Linked DNA regions of Lonchura striata. The protein of the gene in region 2 interacts with the protein of the main gene of each other region in a pairwise test. Links are inferred from orthologs where the notes say so. Each region holds a gene or a part of one and is shown on either strand. Other genes may lie near its edges. The genes, in order: MAD2L1 and INSR.

Evidence for each region.
Region 1: the proteins of INSR (region 2) and MAD2L1 interact in binary tests that used the Homo sapiens proteins (3 or more experiments, as listed by UniProt). The link is inferred for Lonchura striata from reciprocal best matches to the Homo sapiens genes INSR and MAD2L1.

What each region holds. Positions count from the first base shown.
Region 1 is NC_134606.1:70,013,622-70,023,331, reverse strand, and holds MAD2L1 (mitotic spindle assembly checkpoint protein MAD2A), read right to left. Parts: upstream 4,048-9,710; 5' UTR 4,003-4,047; coding exon 3,921-4,002; intron 3,745-3,920; coding exon 3,598-3,744; intron 3,515-3,597; coding exon 3,394-3,514; intron 3,098-3,393; coding exon 2,994-3,097; intron 2,516-2,993; coding exon 2,343-2,515; 3' UTR 1,694-2,342; downstream 1-1,693. Other genes in the region: RPL7L1 (ribosomal protein uL30-like), read left to right, coding at 1-8, 178-386. UniProt on the Homo sapiens protein: Component of the spindle-assembly checkpoint that prevents the onset of anaphase until all chromosomes are properly aligned at the metaphase plate.
Region 2 is NC_134630.1:3,806,119-3,816,040, forward strand, and holds the start of INSR (insulin receptor), read right to left. Parts: upstream 4,168-9,922; 5' UTR 4,156-4,167; coding exon 4,071-4,155; intron 1-4,070. UniProt on the Homo sapiens protein: Receptor tyrosine kinase which mediates the pleiotropic actions of insulin.

The DNA.
Region 1 (9,710 bases), on a different chromosome or scaffold from region 2:
ACATTTAGGTGAGGAAGAGGGTGAGAAAATTGAGGAAAGGGTTAGGTGTTGAGAGTTTACAGTCTGGCCTGAAAGGGTGGGGACAGACAAAATCTTGTCAAACTGGAGGACTGGCAGTTCTGGAGCAGTGTGAGGAAAGATTATACAGCTGGACATCTTTTTTTTTCCCTCATACAGGGGGCTGTAATATCATTTGCCTGGAAGACCTTATTCATGAAATCTACTCAACTGGGAAGTATTTCAAAAGAGTAACCAGCTTTCTGTGGCCGTTCCACCTGTCAGTGGCTCGCCACGCATCACGGAACAGAGTGGGTTTCCTCAAGGAGATGGGCAAGCCTGGCTACAGAGGTGATGCAATCAACCAGCTCATCCGTCAGCTCAACTAGTCAGGTGAGCAGTGCCTGCTGGGTTAGTTCTGAAGCTTACCCTTCATTCCCTGTCCTAAGGACAACCAGACTGCCATTGAAGATGAATGGGGTGCTCACTTGGTTTTGTCACTCTGCAAAACTGACCTCAGAGTAGGAGAAACTAATCAAGAGTGATCCCTTTAGGATCAGCACATGCAGTTGGACACCTCCATGAAGGCTTGGCTCCTGGGAGATAATATGACTTTATTTTATATTTTCTTCCCTATTCTGCAGGGATTTTGTGAAAACTGGGATCTATGACCTGTTCCTTTTCACATGTACCTTTTGTGGACATTATCTACATGCAGTGATCTGTATGCAACTTCTCTTGATTGCTGGTGCCTCTATAAAAGAAGAAACACAAAGATGATGATGGAGATGGACTTTGGGCTGGCCCTTCTTAAAGAAGATAAATTCTCTTTGGTACAAGAATGAGCTTCTTGGAGCAATTTCACATTTGCATCTCTGTAAAATAAGTGTTTTTTATGCACACTACTACAGACTTCACTCTTTGATGTGCTTCTGGGGGTGAAAGGGGTAGTGCAGTCACAATTGTGCTGATAGGCAAAAGAAAAAAAAGAAAACACCATGCTCTGTTACTGCAGCACAAGCCCTAGCCGTGAATAATGTCACTTGTTAAGTACCTGGATTGTATTTATTTTTTAAAAATTAAGGGTTTGTGGTCCTGATTTAAAGAGCTTTTTTTTTTTTTTGCCTTTTTTTTTTTTTTTTTTCTTTTGCTGTATTGGGACTGCTGGGGAGAAGTATTTCCTGGAAATAAGAAAATGCAAGAAATACAGTCCTGGGATAGGGTATATGTAATCTGTGTTTTTTAAATAAAATTCTGAAATTATATTATTATAACAGAAAGTTCTGCATCACTGTAAAAGAGTGGAAAAACCAGTTAAACACTCTGGCTGGAATGAATTTAGTGAAGGAAGTGAACAAAACCATGTAAGTCTGAAAGTTCCAGAGATTTAAATCCCTAATTTCTTCCACTACAGAAATGGTAAGAACACATGAAAGAGTCCAGTGCTGTTTAACAAATATGGAAGGCAGTGTCATTAGTTCACTGTGACTGTTTAAACTGTTGCTTGAAAACTTAGGTGGGAGCAAAGTGTTAATCCATTAATGGATTTCATACAGAGTCCACACCACATGGAGACTCAGGAAGGAAACAGTTAAGTAACAAGGAGGATGTCTTGGGTGTTGCTTGTGTGACAGTTATAAACTAGAATGTAGCATTCATGGAACCATCTGAAGTACCAAGAACTGTAGACTCTCAATTAGAGAACATAAAACCCGAAGCTTTATTCTGTAACCAAGAATAGAAACATAGAAAACGCTGGACAGACACTACAGACGTACACAGAACAACTGTGTCCCCAGAACCAGAGCCCAGTGGTCATTAAAATAGAAGGCTTCATGTGTTTAAAGTTTTCCTGATAAAACAGCTGCTACCATTGTAGAGTGGTACAAGAATTGTTTGGTTGATTTGTTTTAGGGTTATTTCTGGTAATAAAACAGCCCAGGCTTCTAACATGAAAACTGGCACACTAGGAATGAGATTATTTTAGTTGCTACAGAGAATTTAAGACTGCTAACAGAATGCAGTTTAAGAATAATACAACTCTAGCAACTAATCCTAGATTTAGGCAGTTTTTCTAGCAGAGGCAGTGGTTTAACACACCATTAGTTTAGCTTATTTTACATACAGTAAAGTAAGAATTGAACTATGACCATAAGTACCTTTTTTAAATCTCTTTAAAAATGCCAGGTTAGTCTAGTGTCACAGTATCACAGACATGCACGTTGTCTTTTTGTCATACTTTTATCAAGAGGACAGTAATGATGTGCTCATAGCTTAGCTGCATGATGAACAGAAACTATACAAGGTGACAGGATATTTACACACACAAAACTTGCCCCAGCATCTTAGGGAACAGAATCCTTCTTGTAAGCCACTGTAGTGTTGACCTTGTGGATTGTGGTAGTGAAGGAACGTAGCCGAACCTCTTCTGAATTGGCTATGAACTGCGGTCCTGACTCTTCCCACTTTTCTGGCACTGCCAAATCTTTATCCGTGTAGATCAGCAAGTCAAAGGCACCTGGGAGCAAGGGAAAACAAATTCACCATAAGGACATGGTGGCAGCTTTGAAGTGCAGCTTCTAGACTTAGAGACAAGGATCAAGGTTTTCAGAAGTTACACTGATACTAGTTATGTGAAAAAAAAAAAACCAACCCAAAAGTTACATTAATGTGACATCCTTTTAGTTTTCTCAATAACTAAATTGTGTTGTAATTTTTTTTAAAGCATGTTACAATGCTGTGGAGATGAGCTCTGTATAACATTTCATAGGAGCAAATTATTCATGAAAACTTGCATTCCTCAGGGCAAACACATTAATTTCCTCAAGTTCGTTAAGCCACACCAAGTTCTGTCTTGATCTCATGCTGTCTCACAAACCTGACGGTGCACAATGGGTAATCATTAAAAAGCCTCAGAAAAATATTTTCCGAAGTTGGAAAGTTACTGAGGTTTTTCAAAAGTATTTTATTTCTTTAGTGCACTTTGGAATACTCACAGGCAGATTCCAAGAGTGGCAGGAAGGTTACTGTGGCAGTTATTTGTCTGATGACAGAGCGAATTTCATCCTGAATTGCCTTCTGAGATTTCTCCCGTGGTCCACTGGAAAAATAAGAAAATTCTGGTAAGAGAAGAAACTACTACTGCACTGACAGTTTCCTCTAAATATAGTTATCTTTGTTAAGCTCTGGTAGTCTGTTTGCTAGAGTATTTTTAGAGTAGTAGTGACACTTTTAAGTCCTTAGAAAAGTTAAGTGATAGCTGCTCTCCCTCTATTGTTTTGCAGACAAACAGAGGGCAGGGCACTGAGAAAGCTTTGAAGGAACAAGTCCGTGGCATTGATCTGCCCAGGTACTCAGGATAGGGAAGCGCAGGAGTGGAGGGACCGTGGAACTCACTTGTCATCCTTTGCAGTTTTGTCACACTCGATGTCAAACTGCCACCGCTCCAGGACCTCGCTGCTCTCGATGCTGGAGATGACCACCACCAGGCGCTGCACGGTGCACTTGTACAGCCACTCTGCAAGAAGCCGGGGCAGTCGCTCAGAGCGCGAGAAGCAGCGGCAGGGACACCGCAGGGAGCGCCCCGCCGCCGGCCCGCACCTTTCATCTGCTCGGTCACGTTGTTGAGGTAGTTGGCCAGCTCGGCGTCCGTGGTGACCAGCAGCGTGAGCCCGTACTTCTGCACGCGGGTGAAGGTCTCGGGGGGGTAGATGCCCCGCTGGTACAGGATGCTGTTGATTCCATAGGCTGCACGATTTAGGCGGAGAGGGAAAGGGATGTGTACCAAGCCACCCCCCCCCACGCCCCAGCCGGCGGCCATGTCGCCCCACCAGCCGCGGCCTCCCACCCCCTCCCCTCCCACCCCCATTCTCTCCCTCCCTCTCTCGCAGCGCGGTCCCCGAGGTGCCCCGCGGCCCCCTCACAGAAGAACTCGGCGACGAGCTCCGCGCTGCCGCGCAGGGTGATGCCCTGGTGCTCCCGGCCGAGCTGCTGCTGCGCCGCCATGGCCGCCGCTTCCCCGCCGCCCGGTTCGAATCCGGCCCCGCCCCCGGGCCCGCCCCTTCCCGCGCGCGCGGCCGCGGGAGGGGGGCGCGCGCCGCCTCAGGCTGCCGCGGCGGCTTTCCCTCCGGGAATGGCGATTCCCCGCGCCCCTTAGCCGTGGAAACCGGGCTGCAGCCTGCCGGGAGAGGAAGGGCTCTTTCCCTCCCTGTTAAACTGCCCGGCCGCTCCCGGTGCTGGCGCGTCTGTGGGCGGGGCTGAGGGGAGCGCGGGGCGGGCGTGGAGCGAGTGAGGAGCTCTGCTTTGGGAATGCTGTGGGAAGTTGCGTTTCACTCTGCCGAGGTGTATTCGACCGTACTAACCTAAAAATGGTACTTTCCAGGTATGAATTCAACAAATACTTCATTTACGATTTACTGGTGGCTTTCATGGTGTAAGTCATGCAGTAGCTGTTTGAAATCAAAAATACTATTCTGCAAGCACCCCCCACGTGTGAAGAGGCAGGTGGGGAGAACGTGGATAAACAATATTTAATTCAATCCATAACAACTCCAGAAGTAATAATAAAAATAATAAAGGGTTGAGAACCATTAGGGTTGTTGGGCTGCCTTGGTGAAGGGAATTTGCTACTTGGTCAAACATCTTTAGTCCTGTTAATACAGGGACACCAAGGAAGATGTTGCAACCAGCAGTGTCCGTCACCTGGAGGAAGCTGTGGCAGAGGTTAACAGGTAAGAGAGACTGAGAAAAACAAGGAAATGTTGAAGTATGTTAATAATATGAGGAGGGGAAGTTATGGTCTGTCGGGATAGTAACAAGGTCACCAGCTAATTAGATTATAAAATCAATTGTAAGCAAGAAAATGAAAATTTATGGATTTATGGATGGAGCAGAGCTGCAAATGAAATTAATTATAACTTGAATGTGATTTTTCCAAAGCATCATCTGATATTATCATCTAAGATATACTTGTGTTAGATAACCATATCACCCTTAAAAGAAACAAATTGATCAGTCTTAAAATGAAGTTGTATTCAAAACACAAATATTTATACTGAGAATAAAAACCATGTAATCATTACACAGTACAGTGGGCCAGATGCTAAGAGAGTGAATTGATGGTGTGATTGCTTATTTATTGTAATAAAATACTTTTCCACAAAAGCTTAGGCTTTCTCTTGGTTCCTGTGTTGATCCAAGAGGAAATATGGTTTTTCTCAGGATTCAGGCTGCTGTGATTAAAACAAATGGTATTGTCCTGAAGTCATGTGCTGAAGTTCTGAAAGGGTCTGAATAATTTAATTTAACCAGGGGAGATTTATTCTGGATCTTGTTCACTAGTGATTGTGTTATACATAAGTCTTCTGAATAAAGTATTTTCTGAGTAAGAGTGGTATATTTCCAAGGTTGTAATAATGGAAGCATTTTTCATCCAAAGCCTAACTTTTAGAAGTTCAATTGCTGTGAATATTAGCTGTTTTGCTTAAAACCTTATGTACTGTGGTGCTCTTATTTATCCATCCCCAAATGGTCTCAGTCCTCTGGGGTTTTTCCTACACTTGGCTTCTTGTCCATTTTGTTTTGGAAGAGTTGCTCATTTTTGTGATAAACAGAATAACTTGAAAGCGTGAGACCAGGCAAGAATAGCAGAGCTTTTGATTAATATTTAACACATTTCTCCTCTAGCTGTCTTCCTGTTGAAATCAGACAGAAGAAAGGAATCAAGGTGTTTCTTGGTTTACCAAGTTAATGTCTGTGTTTCAGTTTGGATAGTTTGCACGCACACAGGTGCATATGCTTATCAGTGTCAGACTTATTTTCTTCCTCGTTACTTTTGACAAGGTTCACCTGGCAGACATTGAGAGTGGTTGGTGACCTCTGTTGGAACTCTGAGCTTCCTGCACCTGGCATTTCAGAGTTTTGGGTCGTTTCTCTCCCTGGTTCTGTGCTGTGATTAGCACCAGTTTCTGCCCTGATGTGCTCCCTTCTCCTCCACAACAAATCCCCAACACCTTTGCATTTGGTGCAATTTGCACAACCTTTGGAAATGTGTTGTTTCTTCTGTGCTGTAAGTAAGCTGCAGCTGGCATCTGACCATGGCCGGGCCAGGTGTGATGGGGACATGCACACAAGTCCTTCCTCATGTTCCTGACCACGCTCCATAGACAGTGCCTGCAGTTTGTGGCTGGGAATGCCCAGCAGGAGGAGGGCTCTGCAGCTCTGCCAGGGATCCTGCTGAGGGCGAGTGGCTGATTTGTGACAGGCTGTTTCCTGACCAGCTCCAAGGGACTCTCACGAACCAGGATGACAGGCTAAGTTGTACATTCTGGCACACCAGGAGTTGGCTATCCTTGCTTTAATCATCTCATGATAAAACCTCCATTTTCATAAGGAATGTGAAATCCCAGTTGGATTTAATTTAGATCTCTTACAACTCTTCAGTCATTGTTCAGTTTCTCAGTTACAGCTTGATGTTGCAACACAATTTTTTGGATTCTCATTCTGTGAAGGGAAATGTTCCACATTTAGCTTGGCTTTTCTGCAACATTCAGTGATTATTTCCCCATGGCAATTGTCAGTGAACCATGGGCAATCCAAATCACTAGTATGCCATCATTTTTTCTAAGGCACGCCAGGTCACATTCCCACAGTCATTCAGCACCCTAGGAGACATAATCCACTTGTAAAGTTTATTCCCATTATTTGTTTATCTTTTGACCTTTGGGAGGATGTGGACAAGTCTCTTCTCTCCAGAACAGCAAAATAGCCTATGAAATGCAAGTTAAAACAGTCTTTGTGGCACTAAATTTTGCAGGGTAAGTACAGGTGCCTTCTGTCAGCTGTCAAAATAAAATTTCTTTTCAAGTTTGCTAATCCTATTTTTAGAACATAAAACATGGAATATTATTACAAATATCAATTCTGTGCAATTCATCAAAGGCAATGAGGGTAGCACAACAGTGAAAGATTGTCTTGAACTTCAAGTATTCATGAAAAGAAATGGATACTAAAATGAGTCAGTATGGGCCAATAATCTGCACTAGAACTTGTAATAAGATGATCAGGCTTCCCAAAGCGACTTCCTTTGATTTTGAATGCCGTGTGTAAATTTCTACAGTTAATTTTCTGAATGTATTTTTAAATTAGAGTAAGTCGGGTGAGTACTTATTTCCTTTATAAAAATCACAGAGCTTTGGTGTTTCTCTGCTTAAGCCAGTGTTAGAACTCCATTTAGCTTGTAAGGAGCTATGTCCAGGTAGTGGCTGCCTTGTACAGTGAAATAAAATCTTGTAAATTTTGAGAGTTTTGAAAGCATTTTCTGTAGAACATAAAGTTCTTTTTCCGTTTTTGGGGAAGGTTTTCCTTCGGAGACCTGACATTTTTCTACCAGGAGATGGCAGCAGGCACACGCGTTATCTGCGCCCCTTCAGTTTTGGTTCGAGTACTGCGAGTTGATTTCACCGTTAGTTTCACTGTTAGGTTCTTTACTAGTTTTACACCTTTTTCTAGATTTAAAATATTTTTCCCAGAATGAAGGGGATACTTAATGCCCAGTTTTGTTGTTTATCTTTGGTTTCTGTCGCATTAGAGACAATTTAACAAAGGAATTATTATCTTTAAACATTTCATGTGAGGATAAGAATCTGGTTTCAGAATTGGGAAGAACAGGACTTTACTGAGTTTTTTTGTGCCTTGAGAACTTCTTAGTGCTGGATGATGTCCTATTACACTGGTAACATGCTATGTGAAATCCAATGAATCCTGCTCTTTACAGCTTAATCCCCTTCATTACTTAATCCCCAACCTGAAGGTTTATAGTTTGAAAGGTGAATGTTAATCCAATTCAGTTTAGCTCCTGTCACATCTGAAGTTTTCATATTAATAGATCAATAGAAAACTAGGGAGTTCTCAGGTAGCTTAAATTTACTGAGCCAGTATTATTAAATTTTAAATTCAAAATGAGCCTTCTTAAGTACCCTGGAACATTGATTTATCATTTATAGGTTTGTCAACAGAGACTTTTGGTGGATCATCAGAAAATGAGGAGAAAAGGATCCAGAAGATTGGTAGCACAGTAAATACGGCTTGGTAGTACCATATGGAATTTTGATAGGATTCTGTTGTGTGGTTGCAACATGTTAGATGGGAATTGTTGCTTTATGATTGCTTTCTAATTGTGTTTCTTCTGATGTATAATCATGATGGGCTTGTTCAGTTGATTGTGCAGCAAGAAATACAGTGCAGCTTACATAGTGGCTGAGAATTGGGATGACTGAAGAGGGAAATACATTGTGAAAAGCATGTCATTGGCATTAGAAACATTTGAGGCAAAAAATATGAATATTTCCTTTATTTCCACTTGAAAATTAGATCCTTTATATATATTTGTTTTCCTACAGTTAAATCTCCAGGCAAGTTAGGTGTCCTGTTGGCAGAATGATAATCATTACTGACAACAACTTTCTCCAAAGTATTGGACAGAAAATGGCAAAAAATGATTTTCTAAAGATATTTATTCCTATGTGGTATGAAGAATTATTCAATTAAGATGATTTATTTCAAGAAAAAGTTCTGTTTCCATATGTTTTGAGAAATTTATGCATGCCATTCTAAAAAAAAAAAAAAGAACAATTTGTCACCAATGAATTATAATAGTGAAAAGAGTTGAAATACTTTATGAGGCATGCTCAGGCCACTGTACCCTGAGCACTTCTTCTCCATCCCATACCTGCATCTCAGTGCATGCTGCAAGTCTCATCCCATAGCATGGAGACAAATGCTTGACTCTTGAACTTTGTGTGTGCCTTTAATCAGAACTCATCTGCTCTGCTGGTTCACAAACAAACATGAGCAGTCCAGAAGTAACATGAGCTGTTAAAAATGCCTTTATCTGGAAATCAGGGCAATATCTGATTATTAGCACTGATGACTTAACTTTGGCATCCCAGAAATTTCCAAATTTTGGGAGAATATAGATCAACAAAAATTTGACTATTGGAAAGCTCCAGAAGGCTTATTTTGGATATGTGGAAAAAGCATACCCAAAACTCCCCTCTCAGTGGAAAGGGAACTGTGCTCTGGGAATCATACAGCCAGGAGTTTTTCTTTTACCATTAAAGAAGCTGTCTTTGCACAAGAACAGCATTGAGGTAAGTGTGGGAAGTATCAGGTACAAACCAAAGCTTATACAATTCTGCATCACATGTGAAAAGTGAAGAAAGGATTTGCTGGTACAATTTGAACAAATGCACTTGGTTTTCTAAGTCATTCATAAGCCCCGAAGGACATCCAATTCACTGCTTGCTGTTAGTCAACACCAGCAAAATTTTTAGGAGAAAATCTAGAGAATGTTATAACACTATTTGGAAGTCCAGTTACAAAATTCAAATTCAAAGCAGTTACCTGTGCCTCGTGCACAGTGGAAGGCCTCATCCAAACCTCATGATGTGATGTTGCTAGGAGTGTAAAAATGGAAACCAGATGGCTTGGTAATGTGAGTAGCACTTTGATGTTAATTGTTCCTTACAGTCTTCTTTCCTTGAAATCTGATTTGAGTGAAAACATGGCATTATTGCTCAAAATAAGCTATTCCTTGTCCACTATCTGACAGTCAGTGGAAGGTAGGCCAGGCGTAAATTCTTACCTGAAGGGTCAAGTCAGTCTGGCTACTGAGGAAATTCCCTTGTGGTAGCTGGGAGTCAGCACTCTCCTTT
Region 2 (9,922 bases):
CAGAGCTCTGGCCTTTAACAATCAAGATCAGGGCAATCTGGCACAGAAGGAACACAAACCATTTGAGGTAACTATTGGTTAATTCTGCTTTTCTTGGTAGTTTTTGCTGCCTACTGAATAAACAAACTATTGTAAAAAAATTACACTTGCTTGGGTTGGGTCAAAAGCATTGCAATTCTACATAAAGCTGATTTTTAGAAGTGGCTTTAGGAGACTGGGAAAAGGATTTTTGGTTGTTTCTTGGGATTAACTGCTGAGACAGGAGAACATCCTGGTAGCAGGTTAGAGGGAAGGACTGTGTGACAGCTCCTAGCCTAGTGCAGCAATTGTTTGCTAAACATAAAAACCATCTAATTGTGCAATATGGATTTTCATGCTTCATTTCTGCACCTCAGATATCTCGAGCTGAGAAAATTGGATAAGGACTCCAAAATGAGCCCCTATAAACCCTCAGCCCTCGGGGAACATCTCAGGTACCTGATACCTCTCACCGCTCAAACCCCTCCAAGTCTGGCCTTTAAAGCCTGGGCTGGGCTGTCTTTATGCTCCCCTCACTTGATTCCAAACCCAGAGAGCAAACAGGACTTGTCCTGCCCCATTTCCAGGCAGAGATAAGCAGTGCTGGGGTGGCAGCACCCCGGGATCGCTCGGGGTAACGGCGGCGGCGGTGCTGGAGCTGACACACCTGAGGATCCTCCCTGCTCCAAAGGCAGCAGGAACAGGTTCCACACCTTGCCCATAGCAGCATCATTGATATTCCACAAGGATTATTCCATAATCCCAAAAGTGACCTCCAGAAAGCTCTGGGGTTTTACGCTGTTCAGAGACAGCCACTGCGCTGCCTCGCCCCAAAAAAGGGACAGGACATGCTGGGGCCTGGGTTTGGTACAGCCCTGCCCTTCTGCACTCACTTTTCCTACTTTATTCTCATGCTTTTTTCTCCTTTATTCCTGCTTTTGGTCTCATAAAAAAATTCATTCTAGACTGAGTGTCTCAACATAAAAAATTAACTCAGGCCTGAGGTGGGACAAGGGAACAGTTTCTTAATGAGTTTACGAGCACAAAAATATCTGTATCAACCAGATGTGATACTAACTAAGAAGCAACCTATTTTTAAAGTGTGTTACTACAGCAATACACAGCGAAATTTGTCCCACAGGGTGATTTAGGCAGAGATCTCTCAACTGCATTCCCAACTCTCACATCAGCAGCAGGTACTGGAGCACATGTGCAGCTCCTAAATTTAGGGGAAGAGTTCAGAAAGGGAGGAAGAGTGCTCTAAACACCCATGACTGCATTGATCAGTTTTCTATTAACCAGAAAAGAAGCCCAAAGGAAGCTGCTTCATTACCAGATGCCTAAAACTAGGTGAGGTAAATCCCACCCCAAATACCAGAGCTAATGAACTGACAGGCATGAGTCATGTGCGAGATTTATTTCAAGAAGTTGCATTATGTTTACACAGTCATTAAAAAAAAATACACAAAACTGTCTTTCTTCCCAAAACAAGATATATGGATCTTCATTTTATGCACAGGTCAGGCCTTCTTTCCTTAACCCTTTCTTCTTCTCTCAGTAACTCCTGAACTCAGTAACTACCTTTAACCACATGTAAGAGAGGAAGAGTGCTCTCACATGAAGTATTCCTAAAATATTTAGGAAAATGGGATGGATTGAGGAGGAGAAACTCATAATCCGGATGGAAATGTGAATTTTACCATCCACTCCATTTTTCTACTGAACAACCTCCATCCACCTGCTGCTTGCCCCCAAATCTTCTCCAAGGCTGCCTAAAGGCACCAAAAGGGAGAGACATTTACACATGGGACACAAGGACAACCATGGATGGGGGGAATTTTGTACCTGCAGAGCCTGTCTGTGGGAACACAGGGCACAGATCTCCAAGAAAGCTGCCTCAATCAGACCCGTTGCTCAGGGAACAACTTGTTTGCTCATGCAGCTCTTGTACGTGCATTTCCCCCTCTGGTTTTTTGTTTCTGTTTTCCATCCCCACTGTGGTGCTCCATGACCTCACCATTCCCAGAAAACTGAGCCAAGCCCCCAGAAAATAGAATCAAACACCAGAGCAGCTGAAAACCTTTTAAATCACGTTCAAACATCAAAACCCCGACGGTCCGAACTGTCTGTAGAATATTTCATGAAATATTTGCACAGTAAAAATGATATGGAAATGTTCCAGCCCACGCTTTGCTTTGCTGTCTTGTGCCCCTGTTCCTCCATCCATGAACTCAAGAGAACATTTTCCTACCACGCTGTAACACAGCAAAGATTAGGGAGTTTAGAACATAGACACGCTTGAACCCCAAAAAGCAAATATGATTTAAATAAATAACCAAATCACAGGCTGCGCCGTGGCAGTAATAATAGTGTTTTCAAATTAGGAACTGCTGGACTCCAGTTGCACACGTATTTATTTATTATTAGTGCTATATGTCAACTGCCTTTTCCATCTCTGCTGGAGGCGGGCAGGTTTGCCCACAGCAGCTGGGACTGACCCTCCCAAGGTAACACAGTGTCACCGGACTCTTGTGAGGTTTCAAACGTGTGAGGGAAGAAACTGGGTTATTTTTGAAATACGTGATTTGTCCTATTGTTGGAAAAAGAGGCTGTCTTACAGGAGCATCCTGCCTTATTCCCTGAATCCCATACACATCCCAATAATGTCCATCACTGTATTGTCAGTACTTGAACTGATTCTCTTGCTCTTGCCTTTTCTGAAGGGAAAGCCAACAGGTAGATTGTCTATGTGAGACATGACCCACGGATCCAGTTAGCTGTCTTTAAATAAATATTTTCCTTTTGTCAAAAAAAATGGCAAGAATCGCCCAAAATTAAAGAACCTCCCATTAAAAGGATTTCCTGAGCAAGTTTATTTAACATAACCCATCAAAACAACTCGTAAGGCTTAACCTGGAGCTAGCCGCAGGTTTAACAAGCTTGTGACCTCCAACACAACATCTTCATACCCCTGTCCAGTATTTTACAAGCCCCTGTGTACACACAGAGCCTTCCCCTGGAGCTCTCCCATCTTAATACCTGTGGATTTGGCACACTACCTAAAAGTGGTTAAAGACAAAACCTCCGCGTCTGGCCACACTAAACCCTCCTGAAACCGGAGCCGGTTCTGAGGCAGCCGAGCAGCGGCAGGGGCACAGGACTGGGGAGGGAACCGGGGAAAGGATCAGGGAAAGGACCCGAGAAGAGACTGGGGAAGGGACCGGGGAGGGAGCGGAGAGGGACCCGGGAAAGGAGCATGGGACAGGACCCGGGAAAGAGACACGGGACAGGACCCGGGAAAAGGACACGGGACAGGACCCGGGAAAGAGACACGGGACAGGACCCGGGAAAGGGACACGGGAGAGAGACCCGGGAAAGAGACACGGGAGAGAGACCCGGGAAAGGGACACGGGACAGGACTCGGGAAAGGGACACGGGACAGGACCCGGGAAAGGGACACGGGAGAGAGACCCGGGAAAGGGACACGGGACAGGACCCGGGAAAGGGACACGGGAGAGAGACCCGGGAAAGGAACACGGGACAGGACTCGGGAAAGGGACACGGGACAGGACCCGGGAAAGGGACCGGAGAGTGGATCGGGGGAGGGGACCCAGGGAAGGGGCCGGAGAGGGGACCGGGAAAGGGACCGGGGAGGGGACTGAGGAAGAGACCCTGGCAGGGCCCGGGGAGGGGAGCCGAGGAGGAACCGGGGAGGAACCGGGGAAGGAACGGGGGAAGTGCCCATGGAAGGGCCGGGGAGCGGCTCCGCAGAGGGGCCCGTGCCCCTCCCCGGGCGCGGCCCCGCTGACCCCGGCCCGGCGCCGCCCGCGCGGGGCCCCGCGGGCCGGGAGAGCCGGGGCCGCCGCTGCCCTCCCGGCCGTGCCGCTCCAATCTCGGCCGCCGCCGGGCCGGGCCGGGGCTGAAGGTGACCCGGGAGCGCTCCGGGCCGCGCTGCCCGCGGGCCCCGCGCAGGTACAAAGGGCACGGCGGGCCCGGGCCCGCCCCGCCGCCGCCCGCAGCCCCCCAGCCCTCCCGGCCGGGCCCCGACTCACTCTCGCCGCGGCCGCGGCCGCACCAGGCTCCCAGCACCACGGCCACGGCCAGCGCCGCCGCGGCCGCCGCCGCTCTCGGTCCCATCCCGCGCCGCTGCCGCCGCCCGGCGCGAATCAGAGCCCGCGGGGCGGGCGCGGGGGCCGGGCCCGGCCGAGCATCGCCGCGGAGCCCCCGCGGAGCCCCTTTATAGCGCCGGGCCCCTCCCTGCCCGCGGAGTCGGCCCCGGCCCGGCGGCCCCTCGCAGCGCAGGCCGGGCTGGCGGCGCCCCGGCCGGTAAACAAGGGGCTGCCCCCGTCAGCTGCGAGCCCGGCGGGGCGGCCGCAAGAGGCGGCGCGGAGCGCGGGCACGGGACGGGACGGGCCGGGGGAGGAGCGGCGGCGGCGTCCAGGCACCCTTCATCACCCAGCCTCCCTTCATCATCCAGCCTCCCTTCATCATCCAGGCACCCTTCATCACCCAGCCGCCCTTCATCATCCAGCCTCCCTTCATCATCCAGGCACCCTTCATCATCCAGGCACCCTTCATCATCCAGCCTCCCTTCATCATCCAGGCACCCTTCATCATCCAGGCACCCTTCATCATCCAGCCGCCCTTCATCATCCAGCCGCCCTTCATCACCCACCCATCACCCACCCCTCCTCTGTCCGTCCGTCCTTCTGCCCGTCCGCCCACCCACCCATCCAGCCGGCTGTGAGCCCCGTTGGTGCTGCCCGAGGAGCCGCAGTGGCCTCGGCAGCGTGCAGCGAGTGAAACGCAGGAGTTCAGCAGCCTGACCTCGCTGTTTGTTCAAATGGAAGGAGAGCATGGTTAGGTGAGAGATTAGGGAAAATATTTTTACTGGGAGGGTGGGCAGGCCCTGGCACAGGGTGCCCACCCTGGATCCCTGGCAGTGCCCAAGGCCAGGCTGGACAGGGCTGGGAGCAGCCTGGGACAGTGAAGGTGTCCCTGCCATGGCAGGGCTGGCACTGGATGGGCTTTGAGGTCCTTCCCAACCCAAACCATTCTGGGATTCTGTCTCTCTGTCCCAGTGCTGACAGCCCAGGCTGAGAGCAGGGCTGCTGCCCTGGCTCTGCCCGTGTCCCTCCTCCTCCCGCAGAACTGGACAGAGCTTGTCATGAGGATACTGTCTACCACTGCCACTGCTTTCAGTATCACAGAACCCAAAGAGCCATTGCAGATTTCTGGTTCTTTTTGCTGTGGGATTCATCATTTGGTGCCTTTTTTAATCATCTCTGCACTGCACTCGTGCTAAGCCATGACAGTACGTTTCCTGGCAACTTCCAGTAATTTTATCTGGCTTTTGCTTTCAGCCATTTCTGCAAGACAAATGAGTTATAAACTGCTGGAATAAAGCCTTTTTTAATTAAAAAATGCTTGGCAAATAGACATTCTTTACAATTTTTATCCCACCATCTTTAGCTTAGAACAGATCTCTCACTTCTGCTTGACATTAAGAGACCCTGGGCAGGCCAGAGTTAACCAGCAGGTCACCGTGCCTCAGTCCCCTCGTCTGCACTATGAGTTTACCCTATTTAAAGTATTTTGCATTGCTTTTCCAGGTAAAGAATGACTGCAGTTGTCCCAGGGACACGACACAGTGTGACTGAGGGGAGGGCTGGTCAGTGAAATCGTGGCTCTGCTGGTGTGACTCAGCCCCTGATACTGTTTGAAGTTTCCCTGTTGGACAGGGTAAGACCGGCGGCCTGATTTGACCAGTGTAAGCAGGATTAGCTGGGATGGTACCTGTGCAACAATAACTACATCTCAGCATTTGCAGACTATTTAAATGCTGAGATGAAAGGCTCTGCTTAAGTGGGGATGCTTTCTCTGTCATCAGCACAGCAGATGTGTGTCTGCACAGCACAGGAGCTGTTGATTCAGCCCATCAGAACCACAGTCATGGGATGGCATTTCCCCCGTTTCTGTCCTTTTTTCACAAATCCATGCTGCTGCCTCAAGCTGACAAGTGCAGAGAGACTCAGAACCCCACTCATGCTCAACTGCTTCAGGAAGTAAGGACACTTAAGGAAGGGAAATAAACAACAAAAGTATGCATTCTCTGCTTGCAAATTAACTTGCTTTATGACTGTAGACTTTGCATAAAACAGAGCCAAACATCACCTGGACAGCTCGGGCTGTGTGGAATTTATACTGTGACTGTAACAGCAACCTGCTCTTGCTTACTCACTTATGTTCTCATTGCTTTTCATGTAATAATGATATCAGTTTACACATTGGCATATGAGGATTAAAGGCTACAGATTTATTATCTTTCCTTAAAATACTATTTTTAGTTTCTAATTACTGATTAAGAACATCAGTGTGCAACCTTTCCAGCATCTTTCCCATACATCCACTGCTACATATTCATCACGCTACAGTGCACTTGGTTTGCAATCAGATAAACCAACAGGAGCAATGTGGGCGCTTAGAAACTAAGCCAACACCTGCTTACTCTTGAGTTCTGTTTTTTTTTCTCCTAATAACTGCAATGCAGGCTTTTCTTTTATTTCTGATTCAAGAAGCTACTAAAATCACCAGTTTGATATATTAAATATTGGCAACAGTCATATTTCTTTCTCTCCACTACAGATGTTTTATGTTTTAGTTAGAATAACTTGGAAATAAGCAGGGATAAGTGCTATGAACTGTGACAATCACAGACCATGGGGGTTCAGATCTGAATCCTCCTGAGAAAATTAAGTACAGAAAGACTTGCAGTAGAGTGTATCCATCTGTTTGACCCTACCAAGACTTATTTGTTTTGGTTTGATCCATTCCTTACATAAATCATGGAATGGTTTGGGTTGGAAGGGGCCTTAGAGACCATCCCATCCTACCCCCTGCCATGGCAGGGACACCTTCCACTGTCCCAGGCTGCTCCAAGCCCTGCCCAGCCTGGCCTTGGGCACTGCCAGGGATCCAGGGGCAGCCACAGCTGCTCTGGGCACCCTGTGCCAGCCCCTTACTGCCCTCTCAGGGAACAATTCCTGCCCAATATCCCATCCATCCCTGCCCTCTGGCAGTGGGAAGCCACTCCCTGTGTCCTGTCCCTCCATCCCTTGTCCAAAGTCTACTGCTCTGTCCTACAGATGACTCCACATCAAACCAACCTAAGAGCACCAAGTTCCCAACAGATCCCTCCTCCAGATCAATGCTGCTCAGGACTGAAGCTCTTGGAAGCCCATCCCTGGAGCAGGAGCCACGTTTGCACACACAGGTAGGGACAATGACTTTGTAAAGCAGCTTGAATGTTGCAGCAGTGACAACCTTGTACTGTCACAAGTGTCTGTGGAGAGAGAACCCAGCTCAGCTCCCAAGCACCAACACATGGAGCTTGCTGAGAGCTTCACACCTTGAGAACCAACACATCTTTTTCTCTATGCACTGGAACACATGGGTGGGTTTTAGGTTGTGTGTCTTTAGCCATACTAATTAAAGTTCCTCACTAATTAACCACCCTGGGAATAGTCAAGGAACACAAACTTTGTGCCCCAAAGGAGCTTTGGAGCAGTTGACTCACCAGGAAGGTTCATTGGTACCAATTCTGTTTTAAGAACTAAGCTGCTTGAAAACCAGTTCAGGAGCCAAAGCCACACAGCAGCCTGGGGCTGAGCTGAGGTCAGAATTCCCACTTTCTGCTCCCCCAGTTCACTGTGGCCTTCTTTAAACAACAAGTTGCAACTGCCTGGGTGAAGAGTTACCCCATGGCTCAGGTTGCACTGTTTTTATTGATGTGCCAGGCACTCTTTCCTGCTCACACATTTCTCACCAGGCAATTTGCACGTTATGCAGCCTCCTGCCCTTTGAAGATGCAGCAGAGCTGCTGTTAAAGCCAACAACAGCCAAGTCTCTGCATCACTGGCAGGATGTTGCTGCAAAGGTTTACGGGATTGACTTTGCGGTGACTAAACCTAACGCTGAGAGCACAGGAGAGCTGACCTTGGAAAATTATCTCATCCTGTTTAGGGTCACACAACACCCTTGGCCAAATCTCTTAATATAAAATATTTCACGTCATGGATTGACAGAGTTCCTTTCTTACCCTTCCTTCCGTCCACACCAAATCCGATAAGTGACTTTTCTCAGTGAGGAGGCTCAGAGGATGGAGATCCGGTCACTTTATGTGCTAAGGACAGAAGTCTCAGCTTCTCAGCTTTTTGCTGTTGAAACAGGAAACCCTGTCAGATCCTTCTGGAGAATTCTATTGTTACATGAACAAATACAAATTTTGACCAGGGTGAAAATGGCAGAGGGCATCTCTCTGCTACATGCACATCAAAGACCCTGGAGATGAAGGAAGCAAATTCCACTGCAGCACTGCCTCATTTGAGCTTTTTTTTCGGTCCAGTTTCTGGTTTTGTGCAGTTTGATTTTTGGGTGTCACAGAGGCAGACACAATATTCAACTTGTTTTTAATTCCTTGTAAGAATATCTTTGTTCTAATTCAGCATCAAAGTTTACAGCTTGAAAAAACCAAAGTAGTGTCAGCGTTCCCAACCTGGGTCTGGTGAGCAGGGCCCAGATGTAAGAAAATCAGACAGATGTGGCCTTCAGCCCACTGAGCCTCCTCACCCTCCATCCTCCATCCTTCCCTACAGCTTCTGCTGCTCACCTCAGGCAGCCCCAGGTGTGTTTTGCACAACCTGCTGCCAGGCTCCCTGCTCTCCATCAGCCACCACGTGCAGGGCAGTGGCCACAGCCGTGTCACTGCCCCCAGCACGGCCACGCCGCTTCCAGCCCAGCCACCAGCTATACCAGTTCTGATCCACAGCTCACCCCCAGCCCCTCCTTCCTTGGTTATTTCTTGACGCTAATGCCTGTTTTTGTTGATCCAGAGTCTCATTTGGAGGGAGTGCTGGCAGCAGCAGGGTTCCCAACCCTGGCTCTGTGCTCCGCACCGCTCAGGGTTTGTGTTTTGGACGAGTCAGAACTCCCAGTTCCCGTTTGATAACCGGTTTGTTCTGTCGCTGGGAGACACGCCCTCCCTCTGTAAATGTTACAAATCAGCCGTATCTGATCCATTATTCACTAACTGCTGCTGCTTCTCAGTTCCAGCTCCTATTAGAGGGAGTGCTCATGCCAGAAATGTCACGGTGGCATCATGTGACAGGTGGTATTGATTTAGCGCCGTTGGGGTTTAATGTCACTCCCGTTCAGTGGGACACACGGCAAGTGCACGGATTCCCAGCAGTGGGGCAGGTCAGGACAGGAGCTCCCAGCCAGCCCCATGCCAGGCCCCGGACTTGGGAATTACATCAGGAATTCTGCTGCAGACCGCGACATTTGAGTACCTGCCCCGAGCTGCTCTAGCCCTGCCATTACAGTTTTTACGGTTCACAGAGTCACAGAATGGTTTGGTTTGGAAGGATCTTAAAAGCCCATCCCATTCCATCCCAACCCCTGCCATGGGCAGGGACACCTTCCACTATCCCAGGTTGCTCCAAGCCCCATCCAGCCTGGCCTGGAACACTTCCAGAAATGGGGCAGCCACAGCTGCTCTGGGCAGCCTGTGCCACGGCCTCACCACCCTCACAGGAAAGAATTTCTTTTGTAAAAGAAACTAAATTGTAACTAGAAATCATAAGACTCAATTCTGAGGTTTCATGGCAGGTTTACAGCAGACAGTGAGAAGGAAGGTGATGCTGAGTGTCACACAGAACCCTGCTCTGCCCACTCCCTCCTTTTCACTCTTCATAGGATATTCCCTTCTGGCAGAATAGCTGCCAGTTTGGGCAAGCTGCTCACAGCCTCTCAAGCCTGATGCACAAAGAGCAAAGAAAACCCAAGGGAGCACGTACCCAAAACCTGGGACTGCCCAGCCACAGGAGCCACTGTATCCAGTGTTCTG